Oryctolagus cuniculus: one gene and its partners. The protein of the gene in region 1 interacts with the protein of each later gene in a pairwise test. Links are inferred from orthologs where the notes say so. Each region holds a gene or a part of one and is shown in the gene's direction. Other genes may lie near its edges. The genes, in order: FHL2, CCDC92, NRF1 and NIBAN1.

What was found.
Region 2: the proteins of FHL2 (region 1) and CCDC92 interact in binary tests that used the Homo sapiens proteins (3 or more experiments, as listed by UniProt). The two-hybrid records come from large-scale screens. The link is inferred for Oryctolagus cuniculus from reciprocal best matches to the Homo sapiens genes FHL2 and CCDC92.
Region 3: the proteins of FHL2 (region 1) and NRF1 interact in binary tests that used the Homo sapiens proteins (3 or more experiments, as listed by UniProt). The two-hybrid records come from large-scale screens. The link is inferred for Oryctolagus cuniculus from reciprocal best matches to the Homo sapiens genes FHL2 and NRF1.
Region 4: the proteins of FHL2 (region 1) and NIBAN1 interact in binary tests that used the Homo sapiens proteins (3 or more experiments, as listed by UniProt). The two-hybrid records come from large-scale screens. The link is inferred for Oryctolagus cuniculus from reciprocal best matches to the Homo sapiens genes FHL2 and NIBAN1.

The regions. Positions count from the first base shown.
Region 1 is NC_091433.1:103,241,626-103,245,185, forward strand, and holds part of FHL2 (four and a half LIM domains protein 2), read left to right. Parts: intron 1-1,390; coding exon 1,391-1,560; intron 1,561-3,560. UniProt on the Homo sapiens protein: May function as a molecular transmitter linking various signaling pathways to transcriptional regulation. Negatively regulates the transcriptional repressor E4F1 and may function in cell growth.
Region 2 is NC_091452.1:5,556,080-5,560,306, forward strand, and holds the start of CCDC92 (coiled-coil domain-containing protein 92), read left to right. Parts: upstream 1-1,374; 5' UTR 1,375-1,445; intron 1,446-1,453; exon of another isoform or gene 1,454-1,472; intron 1,473-1,511; exon of another isoform or gene 1,512-1,767; intron 1,768-4,227.
Region 3 is NC_091434.1:165,826,044-165,829,603, forward strand, and holds part of NRF1 (nuclear respiratory factor 1), read left to right. Parts: intron 1-3,050; exon of another isoform or gene 3,051-3,189; intron 3,190-3,309; exon of another isoform or gene 3,310-3,312; 5' UTR 3,313-3,318; coding exon 3,319-3,541; intron 3,542-3,560. UniProt on the Homo sapiens protein: Transcription factor that activates the expression of the EIF2S1 (EIF2-alpha) gene. Links the transcriptional modulation of key metabolic genes to cellular growth and development.
Region 4 is NC_091444.1:2,294,732-2,298,761, reverse strand, and holds the start of NIBAN1 (protein Niban 1), read left to right. Parts: upstream 1-1,188; 5' UTR 1,189-1,292; coding exon 1,293-1,347; intron 1,348-4,030. UniProt on the Homo sapiens protein: Regulates phosphorylation of a number of proteins involved in translation regulation including EIF2A, EIF4EBP1 and RPS6KB1. May be involved in the endoplasmic reticulum stress response.

The DNA.
Region 1 (3,560 bases):
AGGGGGTGTTGAACACCTGAGGCTCCTCACCAGAGCGGGCTGGAAGCTCCAGGTGCATCCACACCCCAGCTGTTCCCATCTCCTTGGAACCAGAGCGGGTACTCATTAACAGGTGTGCAACAGGGGGGTGCACAGCCTTCCCCCATTATCCTGAAACTGTGGATTATAGTAGACCTGATATTCTGTGGTTTTCTAGTTGTACATACTTGTGATAAAGGATTGTGGCACAGCAGGTTAACACCCTGGCCTGAGGCGCCGACATCCCATACGGGCACCAGTTCGAGTCCCGGCTGCTCCTCTTCCAGTCTAGCTCTCTGCTATGGCCTGGGAAAGCAATAGAAGATGGTCCAAGTCCTTGGGCCCCTGCACCCATGTGGGAGACCCGGAAGAAGCTCCTGGCTCCTGGCTCCTGGCTTCGGATTGGTGCAGCTCCGACCATTGCGGCCAATTGGGGAGTGAACCAGTGGATGGAAGACCCCCCTCTCTCTCTGCCTCTCCTCTCTGTAACTCTGACTTTCAAATAAATAAATAAATTTTAAAAAGTTGGATTTGTAAATTAAGCACAATAGGAGCATAAAAAGGTTAATGATAACAGAACGGAGTAATACACTACCGTAAGAGTGCTGTGAGTGTGGTCTTTTTTCCAGATGTCGGAGTGTGCTCTCCCCTTTTCACTTAAAGGAAGCATTTTTTATGTCTCTTTGGTATACCTGAACTGCCGGCATCACTTCTCTTGTGCTATGGGGCTGTTGTTCAGTAAGTTAAGCATTGGTGCAAGCGCTGTAATGTCAGTGCCCCATGCAGGCCATCTGCTGCTAAGTGGCTACCGGGCAGGTGGTATAGTAGCGTGGACACGTCCGGCCAGGCTGGGGAGGGCTGCCATGCCAGGACTCAGGGTGGTGTGTGATTTAGAACTTATGAATTGGCCACTTCTCCAACTTCTCGTTTACTATTTTCGGCCCACGATTGACTGCTGACACCCTTAGGATGCAGATCCACAGACAAGGAAGAACTCCTGGAGTCCCTGTTCTCCAGATCCCACGTGCTGAAGGAGGAGCCCGAGCTGGGCCAGACTTCTCTTTCTACTTGGCAATGCTGAGATAGCCTTAATTAAAAAAAGAAATGCAGTGTTCCTGAGCACCAGTCTGGAGAAACACGTGCCAAGTGTGTAGTGTGGGTTGTTCTAGAAGCTGGGTGTATAGCAGTGACCCCTAAGACAAAGCCCCTGCCCTCCACAAGATAGGAATCGTCCCATTGCTAGGCAAGTCTTCGGGCACTCGAGTGGTTTGCTAGGAGACAAATCGAGACGCGGCAGGCTGAGGGTGTGGGCTGCTAAGCCTCCTAGGCCAAGCTAACCAGAACCCCGCCGTTTCTTCCTGACTGCCGGCAGGTACCCGCAAGATGGAGTACAAGGGCAGCAGCTGGCACGAGACCTGCTTCAGCTGCCATCGCTGCCAGCAGCCGATCGGGACCAAGAGTTTCATCCCTAAGGACAATCAGAACTTCTGTGTGCCCTGCTACGAGAAGCAGTACGCCCTGCAGTGTGTGCAGTGCAAAAAGGTATCTTGGGTTCCCCCGGGACCCCGCGGGGTCAGCGCCACCAGCTTCCGTGGCCCTGTCTGTCAGCTCTCGCATTTAGGAAGCAGGGACGGCTGTCCTGCTGGCGTAGCCGGAAGGTTCTGGGGTTGTGCCCGGCCCACCGCTGTGTATTTGCAATCCTGCTGAGCTTTTATGGATTCCAGCCGTTGGATCCCTGTTCTGCACAGAACACCGTGGTACTCTGTGCTCAGAATCCTCTAGCCCTGCCTTCTGGAACATTCCCAGATCAGTTCTCGTGTTAATGACTTGCTGTTGGGAGGAGAGAAAGAGAGAGAGAGAGAGAGAGAGAGAGAGAGAGAGAGAGAGGACAGGTGTGCCCTGGATAGGGAGCAGACCATTTAAAGTTTTCTGCTCCTTGATGTGCTAGCTCTGAGCTGGGGCCTACACAAAGTTTGTGGAAAATGAGTAAGGTGAGAAAACTGGACTTGGATTGCATAATGATGTTGCACCAAAATAAACTTGTCTTTCAAGTCTGTTTTCTAACAAGCTGTCTGAAGTCCCCTCATACACGCATTCTGTATCCCCGTAAGGATCTGAAAACCCAGCATGTTTTGCGTTAGTTCTGCTCCCGGAGGAAGCATCTGTAGGAAGATCAGCCGTGATCTATGGTTTAATGTCAACACTGCAGGATAGGGGCTGGCGCTGTGGCATAGTGAGTAAAACCACCACCTGCAATGCCGGCATCCCAGATGGGTGCAGGTTCAAGTCCTGGCTTCTCCACTTCTGATCCAACTCCCTGCTAATGGTCTTGGAAAAGCAGTGGAGGGTGACCCAAGTTCTGGGGCCTCTACTACCCAGGTGGGAGACCCGGAAGAAGCTCCTGGCTCCTGGCTTCAGCCTGGCCCAGCCCTGACTGTTGTGGCCCTCTGGGAATGAACCAGAAGATGGAATCTCTCTCTCTCACTCACTTACTGTAACTCTTTCAAATGAAATAAATAAATCTTTAAAAATAATGCAGGACAGAAGGAGTCCTGAGCTGTAGCCCCTGCTCTGTCATGAACCAGCTATTCACTGATACCTTCCTCCTGGCCTCAGTTTGCTGATCAATAGCACTGCAGGCAATACCCATCTCGTTTCACAGGCTAAACATGCGGCCCAGAGGGGTGGCCAGGTGTTTAGCTCAGTGTTTGGGGATTCCAGAGCCTAACCGTGCGCCTGCTGGGAGGTGTCTGCCCCATCTTCCGTCACCGTCGTTCTGTTGGACCCCTTGTGATGCCTTACCTGGCTCCATCACTGATCCGTTTTGTAAATGACTCTGGGAAAGCGAGAGGAAAATTCTAGGCGAAAGCCAGTTCTCTGACATCTGGCTTTGCAGCCTTTCCTCACGCTTGTTCCAAGACCACAAGCAGGTTTCGGGCTCACTTTCCCCCAGACTTCCACGATTCCTGCCCTTCCCGCAGCATCAGCAGGTGCAAATCCCGGAGCTTTGCAAGCTCTTTCTCCCACGCCCAAGTGGCTGCTTAGACTGAGCCTGCGAGTGGTGATGGAGACGTTATTCTACCTGCTGGGCTTCACACCGAGCACTCGCTACAGATTTGCACCTGGAACCTTATCACTCCCATCTCACAGATGAGAAAATGGAGGCAGAGGGATCGCTAACAGTGGCTTGCCCCAGCCTCAGGGCTGACAAGGAACAGGTTAGGGTTCATTCCTGGTCTCCCAATAAAGTTCTGGCCAGGAGACGGCCCCTGGGCTGCCTCCCCGCTCCTGGAGCTGCCTCCCCGCCTCTCCCACTCACATCCCCAACCCCACCGACGTCCGTGCCTCAGTTTCCCCGGCACCCCTCCTTGGGGCTGCAGGCAGATACCTGAGGACCACCTGCCCCAATGGAGAACACAGAGACTGTGGCACTGGAGCTCGAATCCGTGGCGGCCACGCCGGGGTCTGCCCAGGAAGTGTGAAAAAGTAGGGTCTCGGTGACTTGAACCACCTGCTGGCTTTCTGGGTGAGGATCTGGTGTT
Region 2 (4,227 bases), on another chromosome or scaffold:
TCTACAACCGCAGGTGCCCGCACCCGCGCACACACTTTTCCTATCTGGAGCAGCGCTGGCGGGGGCTTCGACCATCCCCGAGATGCGACCCTTTTTCCAAAAATAAAAACAAGTCAGCGCATTTACGAATTTCAAAACCCTCTCTCAAGGCTCAAGTCACCGGTGCGTGGCGCAAGGTCACCCGTGCGCTCCCCGGCGGCGGCGGCGGCGGCGAGGGAAGCCGAAATCCGTTTTGTAAAAAGCCGCTGGCTCCCGAGGCCACGGCCGACTGTCACGAAGTACCGCACCGCGCCGCTCTCGGAGGCGTGAGCAGGCCCCTTTGTTGCGCCGGGACAGGCCACGGCCAAAGTGGGGGCGGCCGCGGGGCTCACAAAGGAGCGGGCCGCGAGGGCAGAGTCCTCCGGGGCCGGCCGGGAGGGCGCGGCGGGCGGCGGGTGGGGGAGGGGGAGGGGAGGAGGAGGAGGGGGCGCGGGAGCCGCTTACCTGCGCGAGCGGCCCTGGTCGCGGTCACACAATGGAGGCGTCCGGCGGCGGCCCCGTGCGCCGGGTGCGCGGCGGGCTCCTCGCGGCCTCGGCCGGGCCGGGCGCTACAAACACACAACAGCACAGCCTGCGGCGCGCCGCCGCGCCCGCCCCTCCGGGGCCCGCCTGGAAGCGCTCCCAGGCGCGGCCCCACGGGCCCCGGGGCCGGCCGCGCTCCCCCTTCCCCCGGCCCCGACAACAATGGAGCCCGGCCCGGGAGTCCGGCTCCCGCGGGGCCTCGCCCTGCCCGCCGCCATCGGCGACCCCAGGCCCCGCCGCCCGCCGCCCCGAGGCCCGCGGCCTGGCCGGCGGCCGCCCGCCCGCGGGGAGCCGCGCCGACCCCCGCGGCGCGCCCGAGGGGCCCGCGCGGCCCCAGGCCCGTCCCGAGCGCCGGCTTGTTTTTCTTTTCTTCCCACCCCCGCCCCCCGCCCCCGCCCGCACCCCGGAAAAGAAGGCCGGCGACAGCTCAGCCGCCGCCAACTCACTCCAAGTGAGGGGTGCGGGCGCCCCAGGCCGCGGGCTCCGCGCACCCACCCTCTCTCTCCTCCGGGGACACCTCACAGGTGCGCCTCCGAGCCGCGCGCGCGCGCTCCGCACACCCAGACGCCTCCGGGGGACAGCGCGCGTGCGCACGCACGCGGCCGGCCGGCCCCGGGGGAGCGGGACCCGCACGCATGCGCGAAGCCTCCGCGCGCGCCCCCCCACCGCCGGTCGCGCGCCCGCGCGCCCGCTCGCTTCTCCCTCCTCTCCCCGCCCCCCCCCGCCGCGGCCCGCCCTTGCCCGCGTTGCCCGGGGCAACCGCAGTGCGGCCGCACCTGAGCTGTGCGCCTGCGTCCCACCGGCCCGACCCTCCCTCCCCCTCGGCCCCGTCCCCCTGCCCAGCCGCAGCCCCGGGGAGCCGGGCGGCGCCCCCTCCCCGCCCAGTGAGTACCAGCCGGCCTCCCCGCCCCTCCCGGCGGACGCCGAGCCGCCGCCGCCGCCGCCGCCACACGCCGCAGCGCGACCCGGCTCGCCGCCGGCCGGCTCCCAGGGTGCACCGCGGCGGGCGCTCGCTGCGAGCCGGCGAGATGCGCTGAGCGGGCGGTGCCCACTGACCTCCCTCGGCGGCCCGGCCGGGCAGGGCCGGAGCCGAGGCTGCCCCGCCCGCCGCCGCCCCGCCCATGGGCTGCGGGCCGCCGCCGCCCGCCGGGAGGAACGAGCCGAGCCGGGGAGCCGCCTGAAGGACCGCCGCGGCCGCGCCCGCAGGTGAGGCGGGGCCCGCGGAGAGCCCAGTCCGGCCCCGCTCACCTGGCCCCGCTGGACAGCGACGGAACAGCCGCGCTGCGCGGTGCGGGCCGGGGCGCGGGCCGGCGGCGGGCGTGGGGGGGGGGTCTCCTGGCGCAGACACCCAGCGGGGCGGCCGCGGCGTCCGGCCCCAGGCGGGGGAGGCGAGGCCGGCCCGGGGCGGGATCCGCATTGCAGGTGCAGCGGCGGCGCCCGGGGGGGGGGGTGGCGCTGCGGGCGGCGGAGCCCCCGGCCGCCCCCGCCGCCCCCGCCGCCCCCGGCTCTGCGGGCTCGCCTTCCTGCTGCCCGCGACCGTGGAGTGGGCAGCTGCGGCGTTCGCCGGTGCGATGCGGAGTCGGCTACCGCCACGGAGCGGGCCGGGGCGCGGGGGGGGGGGGCAGCACCGCGCGCCGGGCTTGCGGTTGCGACGATGAAGGTTTCACCCCAAAACCAAGGCTTGAGCGCGTCGCGCATTCCCGGGAACCCGCGAGTGGGAAGGCTAGCATGGCCGCTTTGAAACGTGCGGTGCGAAGTGGGCTTATTAGGGAGCGGCGTTTGCGGCTGTTCCCTTTGGGGGGGCGGCACAGTCAAGAATTCTGCGTTTTCTCGCCGTTGAACTGTAGGAGGGAAAGCTGCCAACATTTACAGCGGTTTTTACTTCTGATTTGAAATGTACGGATTTTTTTTTTGTTTGGCTAAATGTTGCAGATGTGTTTGGAGGAAACTCTAGGCTGTGTCTTTATCTGTACACCTGTGCACAGGGGCGGGGGCTTCAGAAAAGCCTGCGGACGTGGAATTAAAAGGTAACTTTGTCTCGTTGCAAAATTTGAAATCCATGATTTATTTTTTCGCGATGGCTCGCCCCACGAACTCTTTGAAGGCCCCCTGTAGTTAAACACCCTGAAACCTTAAGGTAACTATTCCTCCACATCGCTTCTTAATCACTCGGGAAGTTTAGGCTTTTTTTTTTTTAGGACAGTTATTTCATTTTTACTGTTAGGTTTAAACAGATTTTATTTTTTTTGGAAATTAGATGTTTTTATTGTTAACTCTTTTTCAGAAGCGAATGGGTGCTTTTACTCAGATGGTCCGTCTTGGGCTCTTGGCTCTTTTCTTTCCTGAATCGGATCCATGGGATTTTAAGGTCATTGCCTCCCTGGGGTGCGCGTGCCCCAGCACTGATGTTAGTGACAGCGTGGATGCTTTTAAAATCCAGTTATCGAACGTTGTTCTCTTAAGTCTGGCCAGAAAAGACTTTCTGGAACCAGGTCTGCCCGGTACAGAACGGGCACGTCTGGTAGCCAGGCTTCCTCCCGTCGCCCCACGGCGTCCCCGGAGGCAGAGGCTGGCGCCGCCCGTGCCTCCGCGGCAGCGCTGCAGTCCGGGTTTGAGGCGGCCCCAGGCTGCAGACCAGCTGGGCCGGCGCCAGCCTCCGCACCTGCGCCCCGGATCCCCAGTCCACCTGCGGGGAGTGAGCGCGTCCTGGCTGTGGGTCCTAGTGCCAGGGCTCCGGTGACTGCTTCGCGCCTAGCAGGAGGCAGGTGTCCCACGCCTCGCCTGGGAGAGCTTCCCGCGGTGGGAAGGGGGCCTGCGCCCCACTCGGGGGCCTGCTCCCTCCTCGGGTGCCCCACCTAGCAGAGCCGCTACCGGAGTCACAAGGGCGGGGAGCCTTGGGGTTCCAGTGGCAGCTGGATTTGGGGAGCTGTGCATCTCCCTCTGGCTCTGTGGTTCTCACACTGGCTTGTCCGCCATGCACCCGAAGCCTCAGCCCCGGGAAGGTTTCTCAGGCCCGCCTGCCCTCAGAGCTGGGTCTAACTCTGTTGTGCGTGAGTGTGGCGCAGTGCAGGTCACAAAGCTCCTCTCGCCTAATAAAGACTTTTTAGTTGTGATCTGATTTTCTCCCTTTGACTTTTATTTTCTACAATAAACTTTTAATCAGATGGAAAATTATCTTTTCTAGGAAACCAAGCAGAGGAGTTTGCTTTTTAAAAGCGTTAAAAATGGGCTGATGTCAGCTCTCCTTCTGAGTCAGGGAGTTGTGAAGCTGCATCTTTTTTCTTAGATGAAAATGCTTTTTAAAGATGCTAATTAAGAGGTGATTCTGTGCTTGCTCTGCGTCTTCATTCCTCTTTATTTCATTACTCCAACATGACTCAGGTTTCACAGCGAGACGTCCAGTCACATCCACCCACAGTGAGCTGCACCGAACTATTCCCCAGTGCGTCTGGGAGAGTTTAGGTACCTGCTGGCAGCCAAGAGGAAGCTTGAGTAGTGTCCCGGGGACGGGAGAGCTGAGGTGACCGACCTCAGCTCCAGGAGTAGGGGGGCCGCGGCCAAGGGGGGATGTCACTGGGTGGCTACAGCTCCCAGCCCCGTAGTGCCCGAGACAAGTGCAGCGAGAGCTAGCAAGGCCAGTCGAGTTAACCCAGGGTCTGAGCTGAC
Region 3 (3,560 bases), on another chromosome or scaffold:
GCAGGCGGTGACTTTACTCGCTATGGCAGAGGGCTGTTACCTCTCAATGATTTTATGAAAACATTGAAAGCATACTTCACAGATATCCCCCTCTAGTTCAAAAACGTTGAAAGTAACTTTGTCTTTGCTTAGTATAGAACGCTGCCTGTAAATGGTTAGAGATGCTGAGGCAAGGGCTGGGGAGGGCGGTGGGAAGCGGTGAGAACTGGGCAGAAGTGACAAGCCTGTGTGACAGACAGCCCTATTGATTTATGCTGTGAATCGCATTCTGGAGCAGAGAATTGAAATCCATTATGCCAAGTGCATAGCATACAAATCCCTTTGAAAAGCAGTTAGATGCCATGTAATCCCAAATCATTTAAAAGCGATTTTGAAGTACCCAGAATTCTAAATTGTCTTAAGCATTTTGTTTCTTAGACTAGAAAAACAATGAAATGGATGGCAAGATAGCATTTTAATGGAATCTTCCTCTCATATATTATATTTAATTTTAGTGTGTTAAGTTGAATTTTAGATAAGTACAGATTTGGAGTTATGTTCTCTTGAGTATTCTGAAACTCACACCAAATGTAGGATATGAAAGAAACCTTAGGACAGCTTATCTGATACTTATCTTGAAAAAACCATTTTGGGGCCTGCGCCGTGATGCAGCGGGTTAAAGCCCCAGCTTGCAGCGCAAGCATCCCACATGGGGCCCATTCGAGTCCAGCTCTCTGCTAATGTGCCTTGGAAAGCAGTAGAAGATGGCCCAAATGCTTGGACCCCTGCACTCACGTGGGGGACCTGGAGGAAGCTCCTGGCTGTGGGTCGACTCAGCTCTGGCTGTTGTGGCCATTTGGAGAATGAACTCAAATGGAATTTCTGGCTTCTGACTTCTTTTTGGCCCAAACCTGGCTGTTGTAGCCATTTGGAGAGTGAACCAGTGGATAGAAGATCTCTCTCTGTCTCTGTTGTTCTGCCTTTCAAATAAATAAATAAGTAAATCTTTTTTTTTTTTTTTAAATTAACACATAGTAATTGTACATTAAAGTAGATACTTGGGCCGGCACTGTGGCGCAGTGGGTTGACACCCTGGCCTGAAGTGCCAGCATCCCATATGGGCGCCAGTTTGAGTCCCGACTGCTCCACTTCCGATCCAGCTCTCTGCTATGGCCTGGGATAGCAGTAGAAGATGGCCCAAGTCCTTGGGCCCCTGCACCCTCCTGGGAGACCTGGAAGAAACTCCTGGCTCCTGGCTTCAGTTTGACCCAGCTCCGGCCATTGCAGCCATTTGGGGAATGAACCAGCGGATAGAAGACCTCTCTCTCTCTCTCTCTTTCCCCCCTTCTGCTTTTCTGTAACTGCCTTTCAAATAAATAAATCTTTTTAAAAAATTATATATTTTCATTTTGTTTGAAAGGCAGAGTGAGATACAGAGAGAGGGAGAGAAATTTTTCTTTCATAGTTCGTCCTTTGGTATTATATTCAGAAGTCATTGCCAAACCCAAGGTCATGTAGGGTTCTTCTACGTCATTTTATAGTTTTGCATTTCACATTTTGTTCTATATATATTCATTTTGTAAAAGATGGAAGGTCTCTGTAGACTCATTTTTTGGTATGTTGGTATCCATTTGTTCTGTTACCATTCATCAAAAAGATTCTGCTAAACTGTGGTATTGTGCTTGCCTCTTTGTCAGAGATCAGTGTTCACTCTGCATGGCAGCAGGTGATGGCTCAAGTATTTGGGTTCCTGCTACACATGTAGGAGACCCAGATGGAGTTTTGGCACCTGGCCTCAGCCTGGCCTAGCCCCAGTTTGAGGGGTGAACCAGCGAATGAGAAATCTCTCAGTCTCTCTGTGTGTGTTTGTCTGCCTCTAAAGTAAAATAAATAAAAATTTTTATAAAGAATAATGAATTTCTGGAAGTGGGCAGAAGAATATAAATACAATAGGAAAGCAAACTTTTACTGCTTCGTTTTTAATTTAATTTATTTTTAATTTTTAAAAGGATTTTTTGATTTGAGAGAGTTACAGAGAAAGAGGCAGAGTTACCGAGAGAGAATCTTCCATCTACTGGTTCAATCCCCAGATGACCACATTGGCCAGCATTGAGCCAGGCTGAAGCAAGGAGCCAGGAGCTGGGTCTCCCACAATGGTTAAAGGGGCCCACGCACGGAGCCATCTTCTGCTGCTTTCCCTAGGCCATTAGCAGGGAGCTGGATTGGAAGTGGAGCAGCTGGAACATAAACTGTGCTTATTTGTGATGTTGGCATTGCAGGTGACAACTTTACCAACTATGCCACAATGATGGCCCCACTGCTGAATTTTTAAAATATTTTATTATTTCTTCTTATTTTATTTGAAAGGTAGACAAACAAATATTTTTTCCATCTACTGGTTCACTTCCCAGGTGACTGCAACAGCCAGTGATGAGCCAGGCTGAAGTCAGGAGCGTCCCACTCAATCTACATCTCCCACGTGGAAGGCAGGGACCCAAGTACTTGAGCCCTCACCTTCTGTCTCTCAGGGTGTGAATCTACAGGAAGCTGGAATCAGGGACTCGAATCCAGATGCTCTTATGGGTGATGCAGGTGTCCCAAGTGGCATTTCAAGTGCTACTCCAAATGTCCCCACTAGTTTAACTCCATTGTTCTGAAACTTTTTGGAAAAAGCAGGGTGACAGTGAGAGAGGGGGAGAAAAAGAGATGGGGAGAATGAGAATCTTCAACTGCTGGTTCACTCCCCAAATGCCCATAACAGCTGAGGGTGGGTCGAGTCAAAACCAGGAGTCAGCAGCTCCATCCCCATCTCCCACATGGATGGCAGGGACCCCTGTAGTTAAACCGTCATCTGCTACTTCCCAGGCACGATAGCAGGAAGCTGGATTGGAAGTGGAGATAGGACTTGATCCCAGGCGGACCAATATTGGATGGGTGCAGGCATCCCAAGCAGAGGCTTAAACTGCTGCACCTGTTAAGTGTTTTTATGTCTACAACATCAAATACTAGTTAAAGGGATATTTTAAGAATGTTTCTATTATATTTACACTTTTTATTGTTATATTTATTAGGGATATTTGTTTTGTGTCCTGAGGTATCAGATTTAGCCCCGTGAATTTCCATCAGAATGGGTTCATATGAGGAAAGTATTCCACCATTTTTGTGCCATATTTGAGTGGTGCCTTCCGTTTCCTATGGCTTGGTGGTGAGGTAAGTAGTGAAATTAGAGGCTTGTTCAAGTTCCTCTACCCCTGGAGAAAATCTCTCTTTAGTTTAAGCATGGTGCTACATTGCGCACTGCGTCTTATTCTTTTCCTCTTTTTCTGTCAGCAGATCTTCATGGAGGAACACGGAGTGACTCAGACTGAACACATGGCTACCATAGAAGCCCATGCAGTGGCCCAGCAAGTGCAGCAGGTCCATGTGGCCACCTACACTGAGCACAGCATGCTGAGTGCTGATGAAGACTCGCCTTCTTCCCCGGAAGATACCTCTTACGATGATTCAGACATACTCAACTCCACAGCAGCTGACGAGGTCACAGCCCACCTGGCTGCAGCAGGTAGTGTGGGATTAGACTC
Region 4 (4,030 bases), on another chromosome or scaffold:
CCCTGGGGTGATGGTCCTGGGAAGAGCAGAGAGGCTGCCGTGGGACCACGAGGGCCAGCGGGTGTGAGGAGGGCAGGGGAGGCGGGCCTAGGCCGGGTGGGCTCTGTGCAAGTTCCCCCATGACAGTTAGGAGGCTGTGGTCCTGCTGGAGGGGAGGTGGTGATGGGGCGGGGGGGGGGGTGGGCAGAGAGCTGGTTGGACACAGCTGGAAAGCGGGACTGACAGGCAGGATCTCGGGGTGTGAGCTGTGATGCACATCCGGTCTGGTTAGGAAATTAACTTGGTGGGGCAGGAGGAGGGGCTTCAGAGGCCTCAGACCCTTTGACCTCGAGGGTAAGCTGGTAGGACAGAGTCCTGATTCCTGCCCAGGGCTGGTCTGGTGACCGTGGGGGAGCCACCATACAGTCTCCTCCTGGCCCACAGGTGTTTCCGGGGCGGTCGTCGGCCTCCCCAGGTGTACCCAACCCTGGTGCCCCCTGTGTTTTCCCACCCTCGCCAGCCCTGGACCACCTCCTGGGCTCCAGGTGGGCACTGTCCAAAGCATTCTTGGACACAAGCCACGCCAGGAATCCCCAGAGGGCTGGGGAGGCAGGCGGTTGGTCCCCAGCCAGAGCTTTTGATTGGGGCTGTGGCAAGGGTGCCGTGTGTGTGTGTAGAGTGTGCAGCTGTGTGGGTGTGGAGGGTGTATGTGTATGTAGAGGTATGTGTGTAGGGCTGTGCGTGTAGACATGTGATGGAGTGTGTAAGGGTGTGTAGAGGTGTGTATGTGTGGAAGGTGAGTATGTGTCTGTGTGGAGGGTTGTGTGTGTGTACAGGTGTGTGTGGAGGGCGTGTGTTTGTAGGGGTGTGTGTGGACCGTGTTTCTGTGGCATGGGGGGGGGCTCAGGTGTACAGGTGCGCAGGTGCACAGGGGCACGGGTGGAGCTGGTGGGGGCCAGCCTTCTCCCTGGGTGGGGGGGTGGAGCGTGCAGAGCGATGGGGTCCCTAGCCCAGCGGCTCACAGACATCTGGAGGCCTACAGTGGCCGGGACGCCGTCCTTTCCCTCCACGGCGTTTCTGGGCCGCCGCAGGTCGGCGACCAGCCGGCGGGAAGTCCCGGCAGAGGCGGCTCCGGAGCGACCGCGAAGGGGCGGGAGGCGGCCGCACAGGCGCTGGGGCGCGGCCGGGGAGGCGCCCAGGGGGCGGCGCCCGCTGAAGAGGCCGCCTTAGCCCGGAGCCGCGGTCGGCGCTCTCCAGCTAGCTGGCCCGCTACGCCCGGTACCGCACGGCACCGCGCCCGCCGCACCACGACCATGGGCGGCGCCGCCTCCAGCCAGCTGGACGAGGCCCGGAGCGCCTACATCCGAGGTACGCCCCGTCTCCGCCTGCTGCACGGCGTCCCGGGCGAACCCCGGGTCCCGGAGGGGCCGCCCCGGGCTCCACCTGGGCGCGGGCGTCCCCGGGTCCCGGAGGGGCCGCCCCGGGCTCCACCTGGGCGCAGGGGTCCCCGGGTCCCGGAGGGGCCGCCCCGGGCTCCACCTGGGCGCGGGCGTCCCCGGACCCCGGAGGGGCCGCCCCGGGCTCCACCTGGGCGCAGGGGTCCCCGGGTCCCGGAGGGGCCGCCCCGGGCTCCACCTGGGCGCGGGCGTCCCCGGGTCCCGGAGGGGCCGCCCCGGGCTCCACCTGGGCGCGGGCGTCCCCGGACCCCGGCGGGGCCGTCCCGGGCTCCACCTGGGCGCGGGCGTCCCCGGACCCGGGCGGGTGTCCTGGAGCCGGCGGGAGGGCAGCTCGGCCGCGGGCCCGCGAGCCTGCGGGGGGAAAGCCTTGAGAGGCGCTGCGGGAGGCAGGTGCAGGTGCAGGCGCAGGCGCAGGCCCGGCGGGCGACGCCCTGTGCACCTGGCGCGGGTCAGCTCGGGGCCGTCGCTCCAGCCTGGAGGTTTCCCTGGGGACTCCCGGCCGCGGAGCGGGTGCGGCACCGCCGGACGGTCGCGCAGAAAGGGCGGCGGCGTCGCCTTCCTGGGCTGCGCGGGTCCCTTCCCTCCCCGCAAAGGGGAAGAAGAGGAACCGGCAGGTTTTGTAAGAAAGGCTGAGGGGGTGGAGTGAGAGAGCAGAGGCCAGAGGAGCGCAAACCCACCGGGCGGCCGGCGCTGCCCGGACCCCCGACCCTTTCTCTGCGGGGCTGCCGGGTTTTGGGGACCCCGGCCCGCAAGCCTTTGCGTGTCACACCTGACTTTCGGTCGCCTTGGATTCTGTGTGTGTGCTTCCGGCGGCGGAAACACCTCCCAAGCTAGGCTTTAGCCCCTGGGCTTTCCCCTAATTCTTTGCAGAATCGGCTGAGCGCTTCCTGGCCTCTCCTCTTGGCCCTTGAGCCGCTTCCTGAGAGGAAAGCGTGCGTTTGGGGTCTTCGGTGCGTGTTTGTTTTCAGTCACCGCGCCGTTTACAAAGCGGTTTAGAAGGAGCGCAAATCAGGGCCCGGCCTCGCCAAGTCCCGGGATTGGATCTCCAGATTCCTGCAGGGCCAGGCTTGGCGGTGCTGCCAGGGGACGGAGCCGGCGCCAAGTCCCTTCCCCGGTGGTGTTGAGAGGGGGGAAGTGGAGGAAGCTGGGGTCCAAGCTGCTCCGTCTCAAGCATCCAGGGACCTGCTGGTTTCCCCCAGAGGGTAGGGGCCAGAAGGCAGGTGAGAAGGGGTGTGCACTGGTTGTTAGCAAAGCAATGCTCCTGGTGTTTTTTACAAGCAGGGAAGTGTGTTATCACACGGCCAGAGGTGTGAGGCGGGTGCAGGGGACCATGTGTGAATGAGTAAGGCCACAGCTGGCCGGGTGGCAGGGTGGCGACACCGAGCCCCGCTCAGGGCTGGCCTCTGGTTCTGTGGACCGGAACGCTCTGGAGGAGTGGGAGGGGGAGAAGAGTGACTGCTGCCAGGGCATTGCTTCACCCTGGGAGAAAGGTCCGGGGCTGTGGATCGTAAGCGCCCGAGCCCACGGAAGTCCCGGGCTGTGCCGTCCGGATGGCTCTGAAGCCCGTGCTGCCCAGCAGACCCGGAGCCCGTGTGCACCCCGCGCCCTCCCCGAGCTACGTGTGAGTTACAGTGAGACAGTGGAGAGAGTGACGGCAAAGCTAAGGCACAACTGTAAGATTTCTCATGAAGTGGCCGCTGTACGATTTTGCAGCCTTGCAAGCTGCTGGCGTGCGACAGGAACTTTCAAGCCTGCTAACCCTGAGCGCAGGAGACTAGCCGGTGGATGCCCCGGGCGTGGGTTTGGTGGGGTTGTGGGGCGCGAGCTGGAAGCAGCCGCGCTGCCGGTGTGCTCGTGGCTTGGGGTGGGACCAGGCTGTACTTCTAGACCGCTCTCCTTTGGTCGGTGACAAAGTCATCTGCGTCACCTGCATTTTTCTTCCTGAAGCTTCTGCCGACCTCCAGGTAGAGGCACAGGTGTGGAAGGAGTTGCTTCGTTTCTGAGATGTTGGCTTTGAGATTCTCTCACGACGGTATGTATTTTTAGAACGGGTTCCAGAGGCCTTCCGGGAACTTCCCTGGATAAGCCACTCCTGTGCCCAGACTGGGCGATCACAGCCCGGTGCCCTCTGCCGGCCAGCTCGGGCCCAGAAGGAAGGGCGCTGGCAGGGTCCAGCACCAGCGGGCCGTACGGCATGCTTCTCCCCTCTCTGTTTCTTGTAAAACCCTTGGTTTGCCTGGAATAGAACTTTCAAAATGTGCTTCCCTGTTTTAACCAGAATTGTCTTCCTTTGAAAAATGCCCATTGAACTGGTTTTGAATCAAAGAGAGAGAAAGCTCGCCCACAGGGGAGTCCTGCTGGAGGCGGGGCTGTAGCCGGGCCCCGGGGTGGGGAATGGGCATGTGCCGACTTCTGCTGTGGGGGACTTAGTCACACGTACCCCGAGAAGGCCCAGCGGCTTCCTCTGAAATACTCATCAGCGATCTGATGTTTCTAAAGAAATGAGATTCAGCTTAAAACCAGCATGCATTTCTCTCCGGGGAGTTCTCTCCTGTTTGTCCCGTAAGGGTTAAGTGCGATGGCTCCCGGTAAAA